Stegostoma tigrinum: one gene and its partner. The protein of the gene in region 1 purifies or fractionates together with the protein of each later gene. This does not show direct contact. Links are inferred from orthologs where the notes say so. Each region holds a gene or a part of one and is shown in the gene's direction. Other genes may lie near its edges. The genes, in order: cherp and rbm17.

Evidence for each region.
Region 2: the proteins of cherp (region 1) and rbm17 purify together in Homo sapiens (co-immunoprecipitation; 4 studies listed by BioGRID and IntAct, counting the BioPlex papers as one, with this or other methods). This does not show direct contact. The link is inferred for Stegostoma tigrinum from reciprocal best matches to the Homo sapiens genes CHERP and RBM17.

Annotation. Positions count from the first base shown.
Region 1 is NC_081383.1:43,536,249-43,546,481, reverse strand, and holds the start of cherp (calcium homeostasis endoplasmic reticulum protein), read left to right. Parts: upstream 1-5,806; 5' UTR 5,807-5,897; coding exon 5,898-5,922; intron 5,923-10,233. UniProt on the Homo sapiens protein: Involved in calcium homeostasis, growth and proliferation.
Region 2 is NC_081378.1:5,883,524-5,894,144, forward strand, and holds the start of rbm17 (splicing factor 45), read left to right. Parts: upstream 1-6,674; 5' UTR 6,675-6,768; intron 6,769-6,788; exon of another isoform or gene 6,789-6,917; intron 6,918-10,325; 5' UTR 10,326-10,343; coding exon 10,344-10,466; intron 10,467-10,621. Other genes in the region: echdc3 (enoyl-CoA hydratase domain-containing protein 3, mitochondrial), read right to left, coding at 489-586, 3,219-3,340, 4,406-4,587. UniProt on the Homo sapiens protein: Splice factor that binds to the single-stranded 3'AG at the exon/intron border and promotes its utilization in the second catalytic step. Involved in the regulation of alternative splicing and the utilization of cryptic splice sites.

The DNA of each region.
Region 1 (10,233 bases):
AGAATTTTCCAGGATGGCAGGGCTGTCTTATGAAGAGATTTGGCAATTTGGATTCAGATTCTCTGGAGTTTCGAAGATTAAAAGTGATCTATTTGAAACATACAAAATATTCATAAGGGTAGATGAAAGTAAGATGACTCTGCTGGTTGGGTAGACTAAAACCAAGGGGCTCGATTTAAAAATAAGCAGAATGCTACTGAAGTCAGAGATGGGGAGAAATTATTTTACTCAGAAGGTTATGAACCTTTGGAATGCTCTACCACAGAGCACTGCGGAAGATCAATCCTCGAGTATGTTTAAGGTAGAGATTGATAAATTTATAATTACCAGGTTGTACAGGTTATGGGGATGTTGTGAGTAAAGGCATTGACATGTTTGATCAAACATGATCGTATTGAATGGCAGGAGAATCCTGACAGGCTGAATGGCCTTCTCCGTTCCTACGTAATCAGGAAGAGTTAGATGGTTTCATCAAAGGGAAATCATGTTTAATCAATTTATTGTTGTTCTTTAAAACAGTAAAATATTCTGTGTGTAAAGGGGAGCCTGTAGAAATACTGTACCTGGATTTCCAGAAAGTATTTGATAAGGTTATTGCTGAAAATAAAAGCTCACGGTATTGGGGGCGGGGTAGCATATTTGCATGGGTAGATGATTGGCTAGCTGGCAAAACATAGTCAATTTGCACAAATCCTGCAAGGGACTCAATTGGGTCTCCAACATTTTACAGCTTATTTCAATCAGTTAAATTAGGGGACCAGAGGCATGGTGGCTAATGTCACAAATGACACCAGAAAGTCTGTTGTGAAGAAGACATATGGATCTTGAAGCTAGATACAGATAGGTTAAGTGAGTGGAAAAAGTCTTGGTGGATGAGTATAATGTGTTAAAAAAAAGTCATCATTCACTTTTGCAGGAAGAATGTAAAAAACTAAGCATTATTTAAATGGAGAACAGCTACAGATTTCTAAGGTAGGGAGGGATCTGGGTAGTCTCGCCCGTTTTGTTTATTTACTTGTGGGGCATGGGCATTGCTGGCTGACCAGCATTTATTGCCTATCCCTAGTTGCCCTTGAGAAGATGGTGCTGAGCTGCTTTCTTGAGCCACTGCAGTCCATGTGCTGTAGGTAGACCCACAAGACATACTTCACTGAGTTAGTATGTCAGGAAAGCATGAAATCAAGAAGTCTAATGTTAGGTTAACCTTTCCCATGAGAGGGAATGAGTATAAAATTAAGGATATTATGCTTCAGTTATACAGAGTGTTGTTGAGGCCACATCTTGAATACAATGGGTAGTTTTGGTCCCCAGTGTCAGGAAGGTTGTAAATGTAATGGAGGTGGTTCAGAGGCAGTTTATTAGTTTGATATCTGATGAGTAAGTTGTCTTGTGAGGATTTGTTAGACAGGCTGGGCTGGCTTCATAGAATTCCTACAATGTGGAAGACGCCAAATGGCCCATCAAGTCCACACCGACCCTCTAAAGATTATTCTACCCAGGCCCACCCTCTTACCCTATCCCTGTAACCCTGCATTTCCCATGGCCAATCCACCTAACTTGTACATCTTTGGACCGCGGCAGGAAACCAGAGCACCCGGAGGAAACCCACACAGACACTGGAAGAAATGTGCAAAATCCACACAGATAGTCACTCGAAGATGGAATCAAGCCTGGGACCCTGGTGCTGTAAAGCAGCAGTGCTAACCATTGAGCCGCTGCGTCACCACACCAGTTCAAAGAGTCGGGGTGACTTGATTGAACTAAGATCCTGAATGGCCTTGTCAAGGCTGATGCGGAAAGGACATATTCCCTTGTGGGTGAGCCCAGAGCCAACAGGCACTGTTTCAAAATTAGGGATTGTCCTTTTAGATCAGAGATGAAGTTGATTTATTTTGTCAGAGTTGTAAGACTTTGAAACTCTCTGCTTCAGAAGGTAGTGGAAGTGGATCATTGAATTTTTTAAGGCAAAGGCAGATAGATTCTTGTTAAGCAAGGAAAAATCAAAACTTATCAGGCATACATTTGAATGTAAAATTTAAAACATTAAAATCTGCCATACTTGAGGGGCTGGACTGCCTGCCACCACACCTATTTTGCATATGTGTGAGTTCAGGACAGCCTATCAGATATTAGGATATTACTCATAGGGGATGAGTGGCAACTGCAAATAGAAATATTGTGGGGAGGGGTTGCCATTTGGCAAACAGGTATTTGAATACTGGAATACAAACATATGAAATATGGGGTTGCAGCAATAGATGGAATACAAACTAAAAACCCCAGTGAAAGGATGGAAGGTCATCGACCTGGACTGGTAACTCTGTTTCTCTTCACAGATGCTGAGTTTGCCATCATTTTCTGTTCTTACTTCAAATTTTCAGCATGCAGTTTTTGGTTTTGTATCAATAGGTGGAAGAGGCAGATACAGGCAGAAACCTGAGAGAAATGCCTCCTACGGTGTTGCACCAATTCTATAATTTAGAAGCTAGTGATAACAGGGAAGATTTCCTGAGTGAAAGTTTCAACAATTGGAAGAGTGGAATTAGGAAGTTACAACATTGAGAGACAAAGGAAATGCAAGGTTGTTAGGTTCCTACATAAATATTGGTTTGTATTCTTTTCATAAAGTTACCTCTGTATCCACACAACATTTTTCTTCATGCTTCTGCCTGAAATCCTGGACCCTTTAATGTCTCTCACCTGATGAATCAGTATTTCTCCATGGTAAACACAACCTGGAGTCCTGAGGATAGCAAGGTCAAACAATGTAATCTGGGTGAATTGGCAGCACCATTATCAACTATGCTGGTCAAGTTCTAAAGGACATAGCTGCTAGAGTGGGTCTACAGAAGGTGGTGAAGGAGCCAACAAGGGGGGAAAAAACCCACATTTGACCTCAACCTCACCAATCTAACTACTGCACATGCATGTATCTATGATAGTATTGATAAGAGTGGCCACTGCATAGTATTACTGGAGATAAAGTCCCTTCTTCACATTGAGAATATCCTTCACCATGTTAGGCAGTACTATCACCATGCTAAATGGTATAGATTTCAAACAAATCTAGCTAAACTGGGCATCTACAATTACTCCAACATAATCTGCAACATCATGGTTCAACATATCCCCCACTCTAATACCAACATTAAGCCAGGGAGTTATAGAAACATTCAAAACAGGAGCAGAGGTAGGCCATTTGTGCCTTTCAGCTTGCTCTGCCATTCAATATGATAATGGCTGATCATCCAACTCAGTACCTTGCTCCTGCTTTCTCCCCTTAATATTTGATGTCTTCAGCCCTAAGAATCACATTTAACTGTTTCTTGAAAACATTCAATGTTTTGGCTTCATTTGTTTCCAACCAGCAGAGAATTTCACTGGCTTACCAGAGTGTAGAAACTTTGCCTTACCTCAGTCCTAAATGGTCTACTCCAGATCCTTAAACTGTGATCCCTGGTTCGACACTGTCTGGTCATCAGGAACATCCATCCCGTATTTACCCAATCCAAATCTGATATAAATGTATAAAATTGCATGAAATTCCCTTCATTGTGCTAAACTCCACTGAATACAGTCCCAATTAATCCAGTCTCTCTTTATATGTTAACTATAGCTCAATGAAGAGTGTAGGTAGGAATATCAGGAACAGCACCAGGCATACTTAAAATGAGGTATCAACGTGGTGAAGCTACCAAACAGGACTATTTGTGTGCCAAACACATTAACAGCAAAAGATAGACCAGGGTACATGATTTCACAACCAATGGACCAGGTCCAAGTTCCATAGTCCTGCACATCCAGTCATTAATACTAGTGGATATTTTAACAGTTTACTGGAAGAGGAAGCTCCACAAATATCATATCCTCAATGAGGGGAGAGACCAACGCTGTGTGGAGCTGGAGGAACATAGCAGGCCAGGCAGCACCAGAGAAGCAGGAAAGTTGATATTTCAGGTCAGGACCCTTCTTCAGAAATGGGGGAAGGGAGCTCTGAAATAAATAGAGGATGGGTGGGGCTGGGGAAGGTAAGTGTGATGGTGATAGGTGAGTGCAGATAGGGGATTGGTCAGTGAGGTAGGAGGAGCGGATATGTGGCAGAGAAGGTGGACAGGTTGCGTCAGGTCAAGGAGGTGGGGGATGAGAGGGAGGGTTGGTCATGGGATGAGGAGATTTTGAAACCAGTAAAGTCCACGTTGAGAGCATTGGGCTGTAGGGTCATGAGGCAGAACAGGCACTGCTCCTCCAGTTTCCAGTGGCATCATTGTGACACTTGAGGAGGTCCGGGATGGACATGTCATCCAGGGAGTGGGAACTGAAGTGGTTTGCAGCTGGAAGATGTTGTTGATTGTCACAAACAGAGTGCAGGTACTCTACCTATCTAAGCTATCTCTGAGCCTCATCTTGGTCTCACCAATGTAGAGGTGGCCTATTAGTAGGTAGAATCCCTGTCTCGGAGCCTGAAACTCCAGGTTTGAGTCACACTCCAGACTCAATGAACAAGGAAGATATGTTTGGAAAGTGGCCAAACAGATTGAGAACTAACTTGTAAATCTTTCCAGCACACACCAATGGCAAGCCATAACTGCTGGAAAGATTCCTTCCTAGCATTTTGATGAAAGATATTGTAACTACTACTCAAACATCCAGCTGCCACATGCGAGTAAAATTGTGTTAATGTTTCAAGTTTAGTAAACCTTTTTCAGAATTGGAGTGCAGGAGAACAGTCACTGGATTTAAAATATTAATTCTGTTTTCTCTTCACCGATGGTGCCAGAGCTGCTGAGTTTTTCCCAGCAATTTCTTTTTTTGTTTCTGATTGCCAGCATCTGCAGTTCTTCATAAGAACCAAAAGAACTGCGATGCTGTAAATCAGGAACAAAAACAAAGTTGCTGGAAAAGCTCAGCAGGTCTGGCAGCATCTGTGGAGGAGAAAACAGAGTTAACATTTCGGGTCCACTGACCCTGCTTCAGAACGTTCCTCAAAGGTTCTCTGAAGTTCTTCAGTTTCTTTTGATTTAAAAAGTGTGTTTGCCAGAAATAACTTGGACTCAGTGTTGGGGAGCACCAGGCTACAGTCTGGAGCCAACGGCATGGTGTTCAGTACCGGTTCTAGTTGAGATGTACTGGGTGTACGCATCACTAAACCCCAGGCTGATCGGTACTGCTGTGGGTCAGACTCATCTTTAGACAGACAGCATTTAAACGTAGATAACAAAGTGTGAAGCTGGATGAACACAGCAGGCCAAGCAGCATCTCAGGAGCACAAAAGCTGATGTTTCGGGCCTAGACCCTTCAACCCGCATCTGCAGTTCCCATTATCTCTGCTCAGCATTTAAAGGTAGAACCCCGACAATGTGGAAGCAGGCCATTCGACCCTTAGAATCCTCAAAAACCCTCCAAACAGCATCCCGCCCTAACCATGTAACCCTACATTTCCCATGGCTAATCCACCCAACCCAGACATCTTTGGGCTGTGGGAGGAAACCCACGGGGAGAATGTGCAAACTCCACGCAGCTTCCAGAGGTTGGAATTGAACCCGGGCCTCTGGCACAGTTCTGAGGAAGGGTCACCAGATCCGAAACGTTAACTCTGTCTTCTTCCTTCACAGATGCTGCCAGACCTGCTGAGCTTTTCCAGCAACTTTGTTTTTGTCGCTGGCACTAACCGCTGAGCCACGCCGCCGCCTGGCACCGTACAAAGATGGCCGCCGCGACCGCCCTTCACCGACAGTTCGCAGGCGCGGTGTAAACCACACCCACTGTCGTGCATTCCTGCCGTCGGTCAGTTTTCCTTCCGGTCGAAGACGCCTGCCGTTGGAGAGGGAGTGCTGAATTTGTGATATGAACATTTAAGTGTTATATCTGGAAGTGCGGACAGTGAGAAATCCTCCGCGATGGATATACCGGTGCCTCCTGAGGGTGAGTGCCGGAATGTACCCCTTTGGAACCGAACTTGGGCGGGGAAGTGTCTTTTATTAAAATTATTGTGTGGGAACATACGGGCCCTTTCCTTGCGCCGCTATGGCCTGATCTGGGCCCTAGTCCGCTCCGAGCATGCGTGCCCGCCAATCTCGGTTCTGCGCTTGCATGGAATGTCACTTGGCGGCAGCTGCGCATGCGCAGACAGTTCTGGTTGGGGGGGCCTTGGCTATTAAAAAAACTCCTCAATGGAGAAGGGAAAGCGGCTATGGGGCCTTAGGGCTTGTTACCTAGCCTGACAATCGAACGGAAGCTTCAGTGTTGGCTTCAGAATGGCTCTTTGGGCACATCTGTTAAACGTAAAACTCCTGTTTTCCCCCCACCCTATGAAAACAATGGTGTGACTTATTGAACCGTTTCACAGCCTTCTAGATTGACCGGCCCACTAAGCTATAAAATAATATCTTCTGATTAGTTTTATTTTTCTTGAGCAAAGTTTTCATTGCTTCAGCGTTCTGAAATTTTGTTTTGTAATCTACAAAATGTGACCCTCCTTCAAGAAAATAAAGGTGTAGAGGACTTGACACTCTGCCTTATTTCTTCAGCTTTAATCTAACTTTCACCGATACAGATGTTTACATAATTTTCAGAAATATCATACTTACTCAAACTTAACCTATGCTGTTGCACTGAAAGTATTAATGTAGCTGGGTTTCTCGGATAGCACAGGAATTCTTTGGATGGGGAAAATTTGCTTTACAGTAACAAAACTGGTCAAGAGTAGTGGTTTGATACCTGTTGACAAAAGGTATTCTTTGTTCAAAGTGTCATCACAACATCAAGTATCACTGTAGACTTGAACATGGAGAAAAAAAATCAAAAAACCCCTCTCTGATGAAGGGTCTAGGCCCGAAACGTCAGCTTTTGTGCTCCTGAGATGCTGCTTGGCCTGCTGTGTTCATCCAGCCTCACATTTTATTATCTTGAAAAAAATCACGTGTTGCTTTAAGAGATTAGGCCTCCGTAGAATGTCTGCCAGATTCAACGGCACTATTCACAGTACTGGGAAAATGCTGGCAGATGAAGTTTGATGGAGAAAAGTGTGAGGTCGTACACTTTGATAGGAAGAATCAATAGGCAAGTTATTACTTCATGGTGAGAGAGAGACTCCAAAAAAAATGCATGCACCATGGTGGGATCTACATACTTGTGTTCACAAAATACAAAATGTTAACATGCAAATTAAGCAAATAATTAGGAAGGCAAATTGAATGTATATCTTTGTGGCTTATGGCTTGAATATTAAAAGCAGGAAACCCCTGTTACAACTCTATAGGTGTAGGTGAGGCTGCAGTTGGAGTACAGTGTGCAGTTTAGGTTGTTGCATTTAAAAATAGATATACTAGTATTAGAGGCAGTGCTAAAAAGATTCAGTGGCCTCCTTCCTGGGATGAGGGAATTGACTTATCGTGAACCGCTAAACATTTTAGGCCTTTATTCATTAGAATGAAGGGTGATCTTAGGTAATAGAAACTCTACAATACAGAAACAGGCTCTTTGGCCAAACAAGGCCCCACTGTCACTTGGGGCATCCCATCCAGACCCATCATCCTATAGCCCACCCAATCCACAGATCCCTGAACACGACAGGCAATTTAGCACCGCCAATCCACCTAGCCTGCACATCTTTGGACTGTGGGAAACCCTGCTTTGCCTGCGACGGTAGTAGATTCGCCAATTTTAGGTACATTTAAGTCGTCATTAGATAAGCATATGGAATAGTGTAGGTTAGATGGGCTTCAGATCAGCATGACAGGTCGGCACAACACCGAGGACCGAAGGGCCTGTACTGTGCTGTAATGTTCTATGTGCAAACTCCACATGGACATCGCCCAAGGGTTGAATCGAACCCGGTCCTCTGGTGCTTTGAGGTAGCAGTGCTAAACACTGAGCCACCGTGTTGCCCGTTGAAATGTACAAGATTCTGAAGGGACTTGATAGGATATCTGTTGAGATTTTTTCATTCGAGTTAGGGACTGTAATGACAATTTTTTTTTTGAAACTGAGGCATGTAGGAATTTCTTCTCCCAGAGGATTATGAATGTCTGACATTCTCTATCTTTTCATTGTGAAGGTTAGGTCACTCAGTGCGTTTGAAGACATGGGAAGATTTTTGAAAATTCAAGGTGTTGAGGGCTATAGGAGCTGGCATGAAAGCAGATTTGAGGCTTGGTGTAGTTCAGCCATAATCTCACTGTATGGCAAGGCAGGCATGATGGACTGCATAGCCTACTGCTCCTATTGCTTATGGACTTAAATTACCTTAGTTGTTGAAAATGACTGTTGCCATCTTTCCCTATGAAACTGACTTTCCCTATGAACTGCTAGCATGTACACAGAAACAAAATGCTGTAGACACTGGAAATATTCACCAGACCAAGCAACAACATTGGAGAAAGAAGCAAAGCTGATATTTCAGGTTAATCCGCATTTCCCGCAACACATCCCTCACACCCAGTCCCCGCCACAACCGCCCAAAGAGGATCCCCCTCGTTCTGTCACACCACCCCACCAACCTCCGGATACAATGCGTCATCCTCCGACACTTCCGCCATCTACAATCCGACCCCACCACCCAAGACATTTTTCCATCCCCATCCTTGTCTGCTTTCCGGAGAGACCACTGTCTCCGTGACTCCCTTGTTTGCTCCACCACACCTGGCACCTTCCCCTGCAACCGCAGGAAGTGCTACGCTTGCCCCCACACCTCCCCCTCACCCCTATCCCAGGCCCCAAGATGACTTTCCATATTAAGCAGAGGTTCACCTGCACATCTGCCAGTGTGGTATACTGTATCCATTGTACCCGGTGTGGCATCCTCTACATTGGGGAAACCAAGCGGAGCCTTGGGGACCGCTTTGCAGAACACCTCCGCTTGGTTCGCAATAAACAACTACACCTCTCAGTCGCAAACCATTTTAACTCCCCCCTCCCATTCTTTAGATGACATGTCCATCATGGGCCTCCTGCAGTGCCACAATGATGCCACCCGAAGGTTGCAGGAATAGCAACTCATATTTCGCTTGGGAACCCTGCAGCCCAATGATATCAATGTGGACTTCACCAGCTTCAAAATCTCCCCTTCCCCCACCACATCCCAAAACCAGCCCAGTTCGTCCCCTCCCCCCACTGCATCACACAACCAGCTCAGCTCATCCCCTCCCCCACTGCAATCCAAAACCAGCCCAGCCTGTCTCTGCCTCCCTAACCTGTTCTTCCTCTCACCCATCCCTTCCTCCCACCTCAAGCCGCACCTCCATTTCCTACCTACTAACCTCATCCCACCTCCTTGACCTGTCCGTCTTCCCTGGACTGTCTTATCCACTCCCTATCTCCCCACCTATACTCTTCTCTCCACCTATCTTCTTTTCTCTCCATCTTCCGTCCGCCTCCCCCTCTCTCCCTATTTATTCCAGAACCCTCACCCCGTCCCCCTCTCTGATGAAGAATCTAGGCCTGAAACGTCAGCTTTTGTGCTCCTGAGATACTGCTTGGCCTGCTGTGTTCATCCAGCTTCACACTTTATTATCTTATAATTGTCTATGAAATTGGCTTTACAGTAGGAGACAAGAGTGGTTCCTATCAATGTGGACTCCACAGAATCTCCCCTCCCCCACCGCATCCCAAAACCAGCCCAGTTCATCCCTGCCTCCCTAACCTTACCTCCCTCCCACCTATCCCCCCTCCCACCTCAAGCCCAACCCCCATCTCCTACCTACTAACCTTATCCTGCCCCCTTGACCTGTCTGAACTTCGTGGACTGACTTATCTCCTCCCTAACTTCCCACCTACACTCACCTTTACTGGCTTCATCCCCCCCCCTTTAACTTGACTGTCTCCTCTCCACCTATCTTCTCCTTTATCCATCTTCGATCTGCCTCACCCTTGCTCCCTATTTATTTCAGAACCCTGTTCTCCTCCCCCATTTCTGAAGAAGGGTCTAGGCCCGAAACGTCAGCCTTCCTGCTCCTCTGATGCTGCTCAGCCTGCTGTGTTCATCCAGCTCGACACCTTGTTATCTCTGGTTCTCAAGAGTTGTTTTTTGGTCTAGAGGCCTGTGACCAGCAGCATTCCACAGGGCTTGGTACTGGGTTCACTTTTATCATTTATGTACGTGCTTTAGACGAGAATATAAAGGACATAGGTAATACGTTTGTGTGTGATACCCAAATTGCTGTTATAGTGGGCATCGAAGAAGGTTACCTCAGAGTACTAGGAGGTCTTGATCAGTTGGATCAATGGGTTGAGGAG
Region 2 (10,621 bases), on another chromosome or scaffold:
GCCTTGGCACAATTTGAACCCGGGTCCCTGGAACATTACCCACGTCTCTGGAAGAAGGGTCTAGGCCTGAAACGTCAGCCTTCCTGCTCCTCTGATGCTGCTTGGCCTGTTGTGTTCATCCATATACACTGTGTTATCTCGGATTCTCCAGCATCTGCAGTTCCTACTATCTCTGGATTAACAGTTCAGCGATAATACCACTAGGGTCCTGCCTCCTTTTTCCAATGGGGGAGCAGCCCTATGGACTGATATTCTACTTTTAGTGTGCACACTAACAGCTCCTTGGGAAGTGAAGTCCCACATTTACTCCCTAAATCTCTCCATCTCTTTCAGATTCCATCTCATTATGTCCTGATGTAGTTCATTGTTAAATCTGGCTTAATAATCACCTTTATTTTATTCTGTTAAAGTAACAATAAGTTGCTGTTAAAGACATGGCATAACTGTCATTGTTATTCATTCCATTAAATATAAAATGATCAGCTTACTTCAGTGCAGACTGCAAAAACCTCAGCATGATGATCCCATCCTTCAGCAGATGTTAGCTCCTTGAGGTTGTGGCCAGATGAAAACACGGGTCCTTCAGCTGCACACACCAATCACACAGTATCAGCCTCAAATGGAAATATGATACTAATATTACAATTAAAATAAATAAAATCATTTCCAGCAATGACCCGTGAACATTTTCTTTCGTTAAGTGCAAGTTTATTGTTTTCTTGCCTTCTGCATTGTCAGATCCCTGGTCTAAGTGAGGGTATGGGGAGAGTGAGGGTGACAGATTTAGAGAGGGAGTGGGAAAGAGACAGAGCGAGAGAATGTAAGTGACAGAGAGAGTGAAGGAGAGAGACAGTGGAAGGGAGATTCAGAAAGCCGGAGAGGAAGAAGGAGAGAGAGAGAGAGAGAGAGAGAGAGAGAGAGCAAGAGAGACACACACAGTGAGGATGGGAGAGAGAGACTCAGAGAGAGCGAGGGAAAGAGAGAAGCATTGAGAGTGGGAGAAAGGGACAGAGAGGGAGAAGGAGAGAAAGAGAGACACAGTGAGAGTGAACAGACAGAGTCAGAGAGAGTGAGGGAAAGAGAGAGAAGCAGTGAGAGTAGGAGAAAGAGACAGAGAAGGAGAAGGAGAGAGAGAGACACAGTGAGAGTGGGAGAGAGAGTCAGAGAGGGAGAAGGAGAGAGAGACAGAAAGTAAGAAAGGGAGAGAGGGGGCAGAGTTGGGACTTTGGCACTAAGTTAAAATGCTGAGAGAGCTGGTACATACATAATGGGTGAGATGGCCACTTCTGCACCAGAACAATTTTGTAACACGGCGAGAGACGGAGACAGCTTGAGAGAGAGCCGAGATGTTTTTCACAGAAGTTTACAGATGACAGAGGCCATTCAGTCCATCAAACCCTTGTTTACTGGACTGTTGAACCAAAGACATAGCCAGAATGTTTCTGCTGGCTCTGTCTCCTACCCTAGCAGCAGAGAAGTCGGTGGTGATCGCTTTCCCACTAATCAGGGACATCCCTTGGCTATTTAAACCTGGAGATGGGGGAGGTGGAACGTGGGGTTGTAGAGGAGGCAGGAAGGCCCAGAGCTTGGGTGAAGTAGCCCTTTGATCGCTAAACGGGGTCAGTAGCAGGGGTACTCATTCCATCTAGCTCTCCCTCCTGAGGTACGGTTACCTGACAGACCCAGTTGTACAAAGGCTTCGGTGAGGCCGCCTCTCCAAACTGTGCATGGTTTTTGTCTCTTTATGTAAAGAAAGATGGAAATAAAGTGGAGGCTGATCAAAGGAAACTTATTGGAAGGAGCGGATTGTTTTCTGACAAATAGAGACAGGGCTGCTTTTGTTTCTAGTGGTTTTACGAAAGTAGCAGGTGACTTGAATGATATGTACAAAATCCTGGAAGGTCGTGATGGGTGTTCGTGGAAAGGAGACCAGAAGCCAGAGGTGCTGCTTTAAAATTAGGATCACCTTTTTCAGGTCAGAGCTGAAGAGATATCTTTTTTTCTCAGTGTTGTCCACCATTAGAACCCTCTGCCTTGGAAGGCAGTGGATGGGGTTAATTGAATATTTTGAAAGACAAGGTAGACAGATTCAGATTGGTTCTGAGGGTTACTGGATTCGAAACGTTAACTCTGCTTTCTCTCCACAGGTGCTGCCAGACCTCCAGCAATTTCTGATTTCCAGCATCCACAGTTCTTTCAGTGTTTCTAAAGACATTCTTGTTAGGCAGATGAATCGGGGGTTATTGGGGATAGTTGGGAATGTGGAACAGATCAGCCACGGTCTTATTGAACAGTAGTGTCGGATTTAGGGTCTGAATGGCCTACATATGCTCCTAAGTTGTATGTTACTCATAATTCAGTTCCCCGCGTGATTTTTACCCTGTTTCTTCTCTCTGGAGAAGCTAACTTTTTCCTGGGATATGGTTTTGCTGCAGCTATACTCCCCCCTCCCGCTGGTGGTTGTCCCAGGTTTCCTGTGTGAGGTTTGACAGTTGTCTCCTTTGCATGTTCCAGCCCACAGCCTGCTCCCGAGCTTACCTAAACCCTGAATCAATGCAGAAGACAGAAACCAGGAGCTGGAGTGAGCACTCACTAATTTGCCACTATATCTCCCAGAGTGATTTATAACGCCTCAATTAGTGCACTACATGGGATCATCTAAGCCAGTAGAATCGTAGAATCGCAGAGGCCTTCGGCCCATAGAATCTGTACTGTCAAAAATATCACCAGTACAACACTAGCCCCACAGCCCTGAATGTGACGACATTTCCAGTGCTCATCCAAGTACTTTTTAAAGGTACAAAGAGAGCATTCATAGTATCCCTACTGCGTGCAAGCAGGCCACTCAGCCCATCAAGTCCACACCAACCCTCCAAACAGTATCTCACCCAGATCTACCCTGCATTTCCCATGTAGAATCTATGTCTACTGTATGCTATGACCAATTTCCCATGGCCGATCCACCTAGCCCGCACATCTTTGGACTGTGGGAGGAAACCGGAGCACCCGGAGGAAACCCACGCAGACACGGGGAGAATGTGCAAACTCCGCACAGACAGTCGCCCGAGGCTGGAATCGAACCCGGGTCCCTGGCGCTGTGAGGCAGCAGTGCTAAGCACTGAGCCACCGTGCCATCAGTCTCATTTCCCTAGCTTCGTTTTACTTTACCCCATGATCTAAGTAGGTGTGTTAAATGTTAAAACCCATGCTGGAATTACCTGATATGACAATAACGCGCAGGTCATTGCTTTCTGCTTCGTGGAGGAGGTTGGTGCGCAGAGATTCCAACATGGCCAGCGACAGAGCATTCCTCTTCTGTGGGTTATTCAGAACGATGGACCTAGACAGGAGACAAACTATTTTCTAGAGACACACTGACAATGGAGGCAGCCCAGAGATACCAGGAAGGGAGGGACTGCTTTATGAGGCGACGTTCAGTAGGTTGGGCCTGTACTCACTGAAATTGAGAGAGGAGAAAGGTGACACCCCATTGAAACATACAGGTTTCTTCAGGGGCTCAACAGGGTAAATGCTTAGAGGATGTTTTCCATCATGGGAGAGTCTGGGTTCACACAGTATCCCCTCAGAATGAACGGTTGGCAATTTGAGACTGAGATGAAGAGGAATTTCTTCTCTCAAAGGGTTGTGAGTCTTTGGGACTTCTTGCCAACATGAAGCTGCGAGGATGGAGTCCTTGTGTATATTCAAGGCCGAATAAGTTCTTGGCCAGTTGAGGAGTCAAAGTTTATGGGGAAAATGCAGGAGAGTGAATGTGAGGAGTGTTGGATCGGCCATGATCTTATTGAATGGAGCAGGCTTGAGGGGCCGAACGGCCTATTCCTGTTTGTTACGCCCTTGGCAAATCTTAAATATCTCTGTTTTGTTGTCCATTTAGGAAAGCAGCCTCTTTGACTTTGCATTTGAACACCTCCCACAAACTACTGCTCAAGTCTTTCGTAACTGGATTGGCCCCCTGTGTTTGTTATTCCCTGAACGGGGGCATTTCCGGTGAGGGCAGCATTTATTGCCCCTCCCTAACTGCCCACGGGGTAGCTGAGGGCCAACCACATAACAGTGTGCCAGGAGCCACAGGATGGCAGTTTCCGTCCCCGAAGGATATTGGTGAACCAGATGGGATCAGCAGCGACGAGTTCAGGGTCAGATGTTTTCTTTTTGTACTGTTCCACCATCCTCCCCGGGCGGGATTCGAACCTGAGTCCCCAGGGCATTCGCAGAGGTCTCTGGATTGACAGTCCAGCGATGATACCACCGGGCCACTGCTTTCCCAGCTCTGCAGAAGGCTAGTATTGCCAACCCCATCCCAATTTACCCGAAGAAGAACAGTGCCCTGAACCTGTGTAATTTCTAGTGGGTAGCGTCTGGGTCAGTCCATGCCCCCACCAACCTGATCCCATCCTTCTGAGTTCTGACAGTCAGTTTATCACATTGAGCTCTTTCACTGGCCCAGCGGCCTGGTGTATAAATAACCGATACATTTCCCGTGGTGCCTGCCCCCTGGAAAAGCCGGGTGGAGGGGGCTCTTCTCATTTTCCTGAAACATCTCGCAGCAGCGGCCAAGCTCCCCATGGTGCCGCCACCCCTGTTCAGACAACACAACAGTCCCAACACAACCTAAAACTCACACTTAAAGTTCCACCTACTTTACAAGTCCGGGCCAGGATTTTGCTCGCTTTTTCTCATTTTTGCTTTGGGGATGCAGCGGCCCAGTGGTGTTATCGTGAGACCATTCATTTGGAGACCCAGGTAATTGTTCTGGGGGCCTGGCTTCAAAATTTGTCAAGGCACACAGTGGAATTTGAATTCAATAAAAATCTGGAATTAAATGTCTAACGACGACCATGAATCCATCGCTGATCGTCAGAAAAGTCCATCTGGTTCACTAATGGAAACTGCTCTGGCCTATATGTGACTCCAGACCCACAGCAATGTGGTTGGCTTTTAACTGCCCTCTGGGCAATTAGGGATGGGCAATAAATGCTGCCTAGCCAGTGATGCCCACATCCTGTGAATGAGTATAAATAAATCATAAATGCTGTTTTGTTGTAAATTATAATTTTCCCAATTTGACCATGTTTCATTTTCTATTTGATCTGCTTTGATAATACCTCGCAAAATAATACGGCTCATTTGTTTCAATGGACTTTCACTGCCCTTTTCACCTCGAAATATCTCACTTCAAACACTTCCCCAAACATTGATACTAATTTATTTTTAAAATTTTAGAGTCCCGAGGGGGAGGTTTTGTAGTACAGCAGGTAAAGCTCTGAGTTCAGGTCCCGATGGCCATGGAAGGGTACCGTAATACAGTCCACAGGGTGATTATCAGTCTGCAACATGGACTAATCTGATGGAGGTCCATGATTATCAATACCCTCCTTAGGCATGATACTTCACAGAAATCATAGAAACCCTACAGTGCGGAAGCAGGCCATTTGGTCCATCAAGTTCAGACTGCCCCTCTAAAGGGCATCCCACCCAAACCACCTTATAACCCTGCATTTTCCATGGCTAACTGGCCTAGCCTGCCTATCTTCAGGTTGTGTGAGGAAACCCATACAGACACAGGGAGAATGTGCAAGCCTTCACACAGGCAGTTGCCTGAGGGTACAATTGAAACCCAGGTCCCTGGCGCTGTGAGGCAGCAGTGCTAACCGCTGAGCTGCCATGCTGCACTTGAAAAGTGAGTGAGACAGTCGGTGTGTCCGGAGTCACTCATTGATCAACTCCCAAAGAACAGTTGACCCATTGTGGCTCAGTGACAGCGCTTCTGTTTCTGTGTCAAAGTTGGGGCTTAACCACAATCAACTGGCCTCTGGTGCAGTACTGAGGGAAAGCTGCACTGTCGCAGTTCGTGAGGTGCTCGCGGCCTGTTTTTTTACCCCTCTCAGGTGATTGTACAAGATCCCATGGCATCATTTAAAAGAACAGCAGGAGAGATTTTCCTGTCGTTCAAACCAACATTGATCCCTAAAGCTGTGCAACTAAATCAGACTTTCCTGTCTATCTATGGGACCTTGCTAGTGTCCAATACAACAATGACTGCCCTTTCCTTCATAAAAAATGCATAACTGGCTGTAAACTGTTTCAGGACCTTCTGCTGCGGCTCACAAAAACATTCCTTATCAAGTTGCAAGACTTTCAAGTGAAGAACACAAAGTTGGCACAGTTTCCATTCTTGCATGTTACCTGTCAAGGGTGTGAGGAGAAAGCAGGAGTTTGGCAGTAGGTAAATGATGAAGAAGCAGGTAATTCTCACAGCCTTTAAAAATCACTTGGGCCATGGGCGAGTTGGTGACGGGGAAAACAAAACATTCAGCTGTATGTAAGAGCAATTCTGGTTAAGTTTTTTAAAAAAGAAGTACGTGAATGACCACTTGAAATGGTACTCCATTCAAACGGTGGATCTAATGCTCAAGGACAGATGCGAGGCTGAAGGCAGACTTGACCGTGATGCTTGCTGCAGTCGAATTGCCAGGTGCACTGACTGACCAAGTGGATAGATGGACTGTCTCCAGCGTGTGTGCGTGTAATTGAGGTGGGGGTGTGGTGGATGTGTAAATATATTTTAAAGGGATAAAATTTTAAAAAACTGTAACCCGAGGGTGAACACAGTGGGTTTGCGGGCGGACAGCTGCAGCTTTCGGTTTATTGTTGTGTGCGGCGGGGGAGGGACCGTTTCTGCGGCGGGGCCGCTCCGTGTTTCCCCCCGGAGCCGCGATGTGGATGGACCCTGGGCCCAAGCTTCCGGTGAGCAGCCGCCGCGCTCAGGGCCTCGCGGGGCGAAAGGACAACAACAACCCGCACCCCCCCCCCCCCCCAACCCCCACACCTTACCCCCCTCCCCCTCGGGGGGACAGAGACAGAGACAGAGACAGAGGGGGCGGCAGCAGGAACCGGTGAGGGGTAGCGCGCGGCCCGGAGGGAGGGAGGGGGGAGCTGCTGAAATTGACGCCGAGGATTTAGGCCTCAGCGCGGCCCCGCGTCAGACTGGAGCCCCCCCCCCCCCACCTCCCGCCATCGTCACCTTAATATTTATCTTCAAATTACGCCCCCCCCGGTCTCGATTCCCCCCCCCGATTCCCCCTCACCCCCCCCCCGATTCCCCCTCACCCCCCCCCCGATTCCCCCTCATCCCCCCCCCCCGATTCCCCCTCATCCCCCCCCCCGATTCCCCCTCATCCCCCCCCCCGATTCCCCCTCATCCCCCCCCCGATTCCCCCTCATCCCCCCCCCCGATTCCCCCTCATCCCCCCCCCCCCGATTCCCCCTCATCCCCCCCCCCCCGATTCCCCCTCATCCCCCCCCCCCGATTCCCCCTCATCCCCCCCCCCCCGATTCCCCCTCATCCCCCCCCCCCCGATTCCCCCTCATCCCCCCCCCCCCGATTCCCCCTCATCCCCCCCCCCCGATTCCCCCTCATCCCCCCCCCCCCGATTCCCCCTCATCCCCCCCCCCCGATTCCCCCTCATCCCCCCCCCCCCGATTCCCCCTCATCCCCCCCCCCCGATTCCCCCTCATCCCCCCCCCCCGATTCCCCCTCATCCCCCCCCCCCGATTCCCCCTCATCCCCCCCCCCCGATTCCCCCTCATCCCCCCCCCCGATTCCCCCTCATCCCCCCCCCCCCCGATTCCCCCTCATCCCCCCCCCCCCGATTCCCCCTCATCCCCCCCCCCCCCGATTCCCCCTCATCCCCCCCCCCCCCGATTCCCCCTCATCCCCCCCCCCCCGATTCCCCCTCATCCCCCCCCCCCCGATTCCCCCTCATCCCCCCCCCCCCCCGATTCCCCCTCATCCCCCCCCCCCCGATTCCCCCTCATCCCCCCCCCCCGATTCCCCCTCATCCCCCCCCCCCCGATTCCCCCTCATCCCCCCCCCCCCGATTCCCCCTCATCCCCCCCCCCCCTCATCCCCCTCATCCCCCCCCCCCCGATTCCCCCTCATCCCCCCCCCCCCCGATTCCCCCTCATCCCCCCCCCCCCCGATTCCCCCTCATCCCCCCCCCCCCCGATTCCCCCTCATCCCCCCCCCCCCGATTCCCCCTCATCCCCCCCCCCCCCCGATTCCCCCTCATCCCCCCCCCCCCCCCGATTCCCCCTCATCCCCCCCCCCCCCGATTCCCCCTCATCCCCCCCCCCCCCGATTCCCCCTCATCCCCCCCCCCCCGATTCCCCCTCATCCCCCCCCCCGACTCCCCCTCATCCCCCCCCCCGATTCCCCCTCATCCCCCCCCCCGATTCCCCCTCATTGTACCCCCTTGCCTCTCATTGATCCCTCTTGCCTCTCATTGATTCTCCCCTCCCCCTCCCTCCATTGATTTCTCCCGCCTTTATCGATACCCCCCATCATCCCTAGTCCCTCCCTCGTTTGCTTTTTGATTGATTGGTTTTATTGTCAGGTGTCATGAAATATTGTGAGAAGCTTTGTTTACGAGCGGTAAAGGAAGCTCACAGCAAGCAAAGGGGGTACAGATGAAAAAGACTTGGAGACATACAGGTTACATTGTTGGAGGGTAGAGTCCATTCATCACTTTCACAGTTCTTTTCTAAAGCCACATTTCATATCCTACTCCTCCTACAGAAAAAAGCTGTTTCTGAACCTGCTTGTGTGTGTGTTGAGGTTTCTGTATCTTCTGCCTCATGGAAGAGGTTGTAGGAGATCATTACCAGGTTGACCCTTCTTGACTGTTGCATCTGTGTGGGAAATCCAGGACAGGTTGTTGGTTATCATCTCTCCGACAAACTTGATGCTGTTCCCTCTCTCAACCTCAGTTCTGTTGATGTAGGTGGGGGCGTGTTCTCCTTTCTTTCTGAAGTCCATAATCACTTCTTTAGTCTTGTCGATATTGAGAGACAGATTATTTTCATTGCACCTCTTCACCAAGTCCTCCATTTCCCTTCCGTACTTTGACCCATTGTTGTTAGATATCTGTCCCACTATGGTGGTGTTGTCAGCGAACTTATAGATAGCGTTCGTTCCGAATTTGGCAACACAGTGTAGGTGTACAGGGAGTACAGTAGGGGGCTGAAGATGGATCCTTGGTGGGGGTGGGCAGGGTTCCAGTGTTGAGTGTTATTGCGAAGGAGTTAGCCATCCTCACTGATTGCAGCCTATGGGTCAGAAAGCTGAGGACCCAGTTGCAGAGGAGCCAAGATCAATGTCATGGAATTTTGAGATCAGCCTGGAGGGGATAATGATGTTGAAGGCAGACCTGTGGTCCATGAGCAGGAGTCTGACATAGGTGTCTTTGATGTCTAAATGCTCCAGGAAGAGTGCAGGGCTAGGGCATCTTCTGAGGACCTGTTATGTTGTGGGCAGACTGTAGGGGCTTGAGGCACCACATTGACTCTTTGGATGACATTTTAAATCCCTATCAGTCTACTTCCTGTTCCTCAAACTCTTCAATATTGCCAGCCTCACTAACTCTTTTTCTTCTGTGTGGCTGCTTTGAATATAAAACAATTTACCCACTGGGAGATCACTGAACCTTTCTTTATATATTTAGTCTTAAATTGCACAACCTGTTAGCCACATCTGAAAATGATTGAAATTAAATCAACTGATACTTGTAGTTTTTATCACTTTGAATACAGTTATTAAGTAGTGTAGAGAATTATCTGTCTGGGTGATGTGGTTTTAGAAGGGCCTTGAATCCAAGACTTTGTGACCGGAGGCAAGTACCTCCCATTCCACTTATTGATTTCACCCATTAACTCTTCCAATTCTCTGTGTTTCTGTGGTTGCATGCACACCTCGTTTCTAAACTTTAATCATTTTCTGATTCCCACAGTTACAAATCCTGTGTTATTCTGCATTTACGCTCATGGCATTTTCTCTCCCTTCCCTTTTCTTTATTGTGATGTTCCTTCTAATTTTTTTTATTGGTAATGTATTTTAGTTCAGATTGTTGCTAAAACCACAGTCAACTTTTGTTTGTTTGATCAATTACATTAATTTGCTTGGTGCTTCTGAGGCTTTGTTTTTTTTCAGATTTACAACAAATGTATTATTTTTCCTTCATGTTCTCATCTGTTTCTGCTTTTCTCCCCCAGACCACTCAGTAGTGAATTGACTCCTGCTGGTTTGCATTGTTTTTTTTCACACAAGTAAATGTTAACCATAAATAAACTCTTCCTTTCTCTGGGGCCTCAGAAGGATCACTCGAATTTGTAGGAGAGGAGTAGAATGTGAAATGTTGTCTGAATGCTGAAATGTTGCTTTAAAAAAAACTCTGAAGGTTTGGAGTTACTTACTTGATGAATTTGTCACTTTATGCAAGTGTGATTTTATTTCCTGTTCATTGCAGCCGTGAAGGGAAGGTGAAATGTCCCTGTACGATGATTTGGGGGTTGAGACCAGCGACTCAAAGACAGAGGGCTGGTCAAAAAATTTCAAACTCCTTCAGTCTCAGCTGCAGGTGAAGAAAGCTACGCTTACACAAGCGAAGGTAATACTTCTTATTTTTCACCTCTTTATTTACAAGCCAGGCTCGAAGTACAGTATAATGGAAACTCGGTCACATTTTCATACGGGAAGGTCAACTGTTGGGCAAGCTCCGTCAGAGGTACCTTCTTCAACCATTCGGTGTTGGTGTGAGCAGAG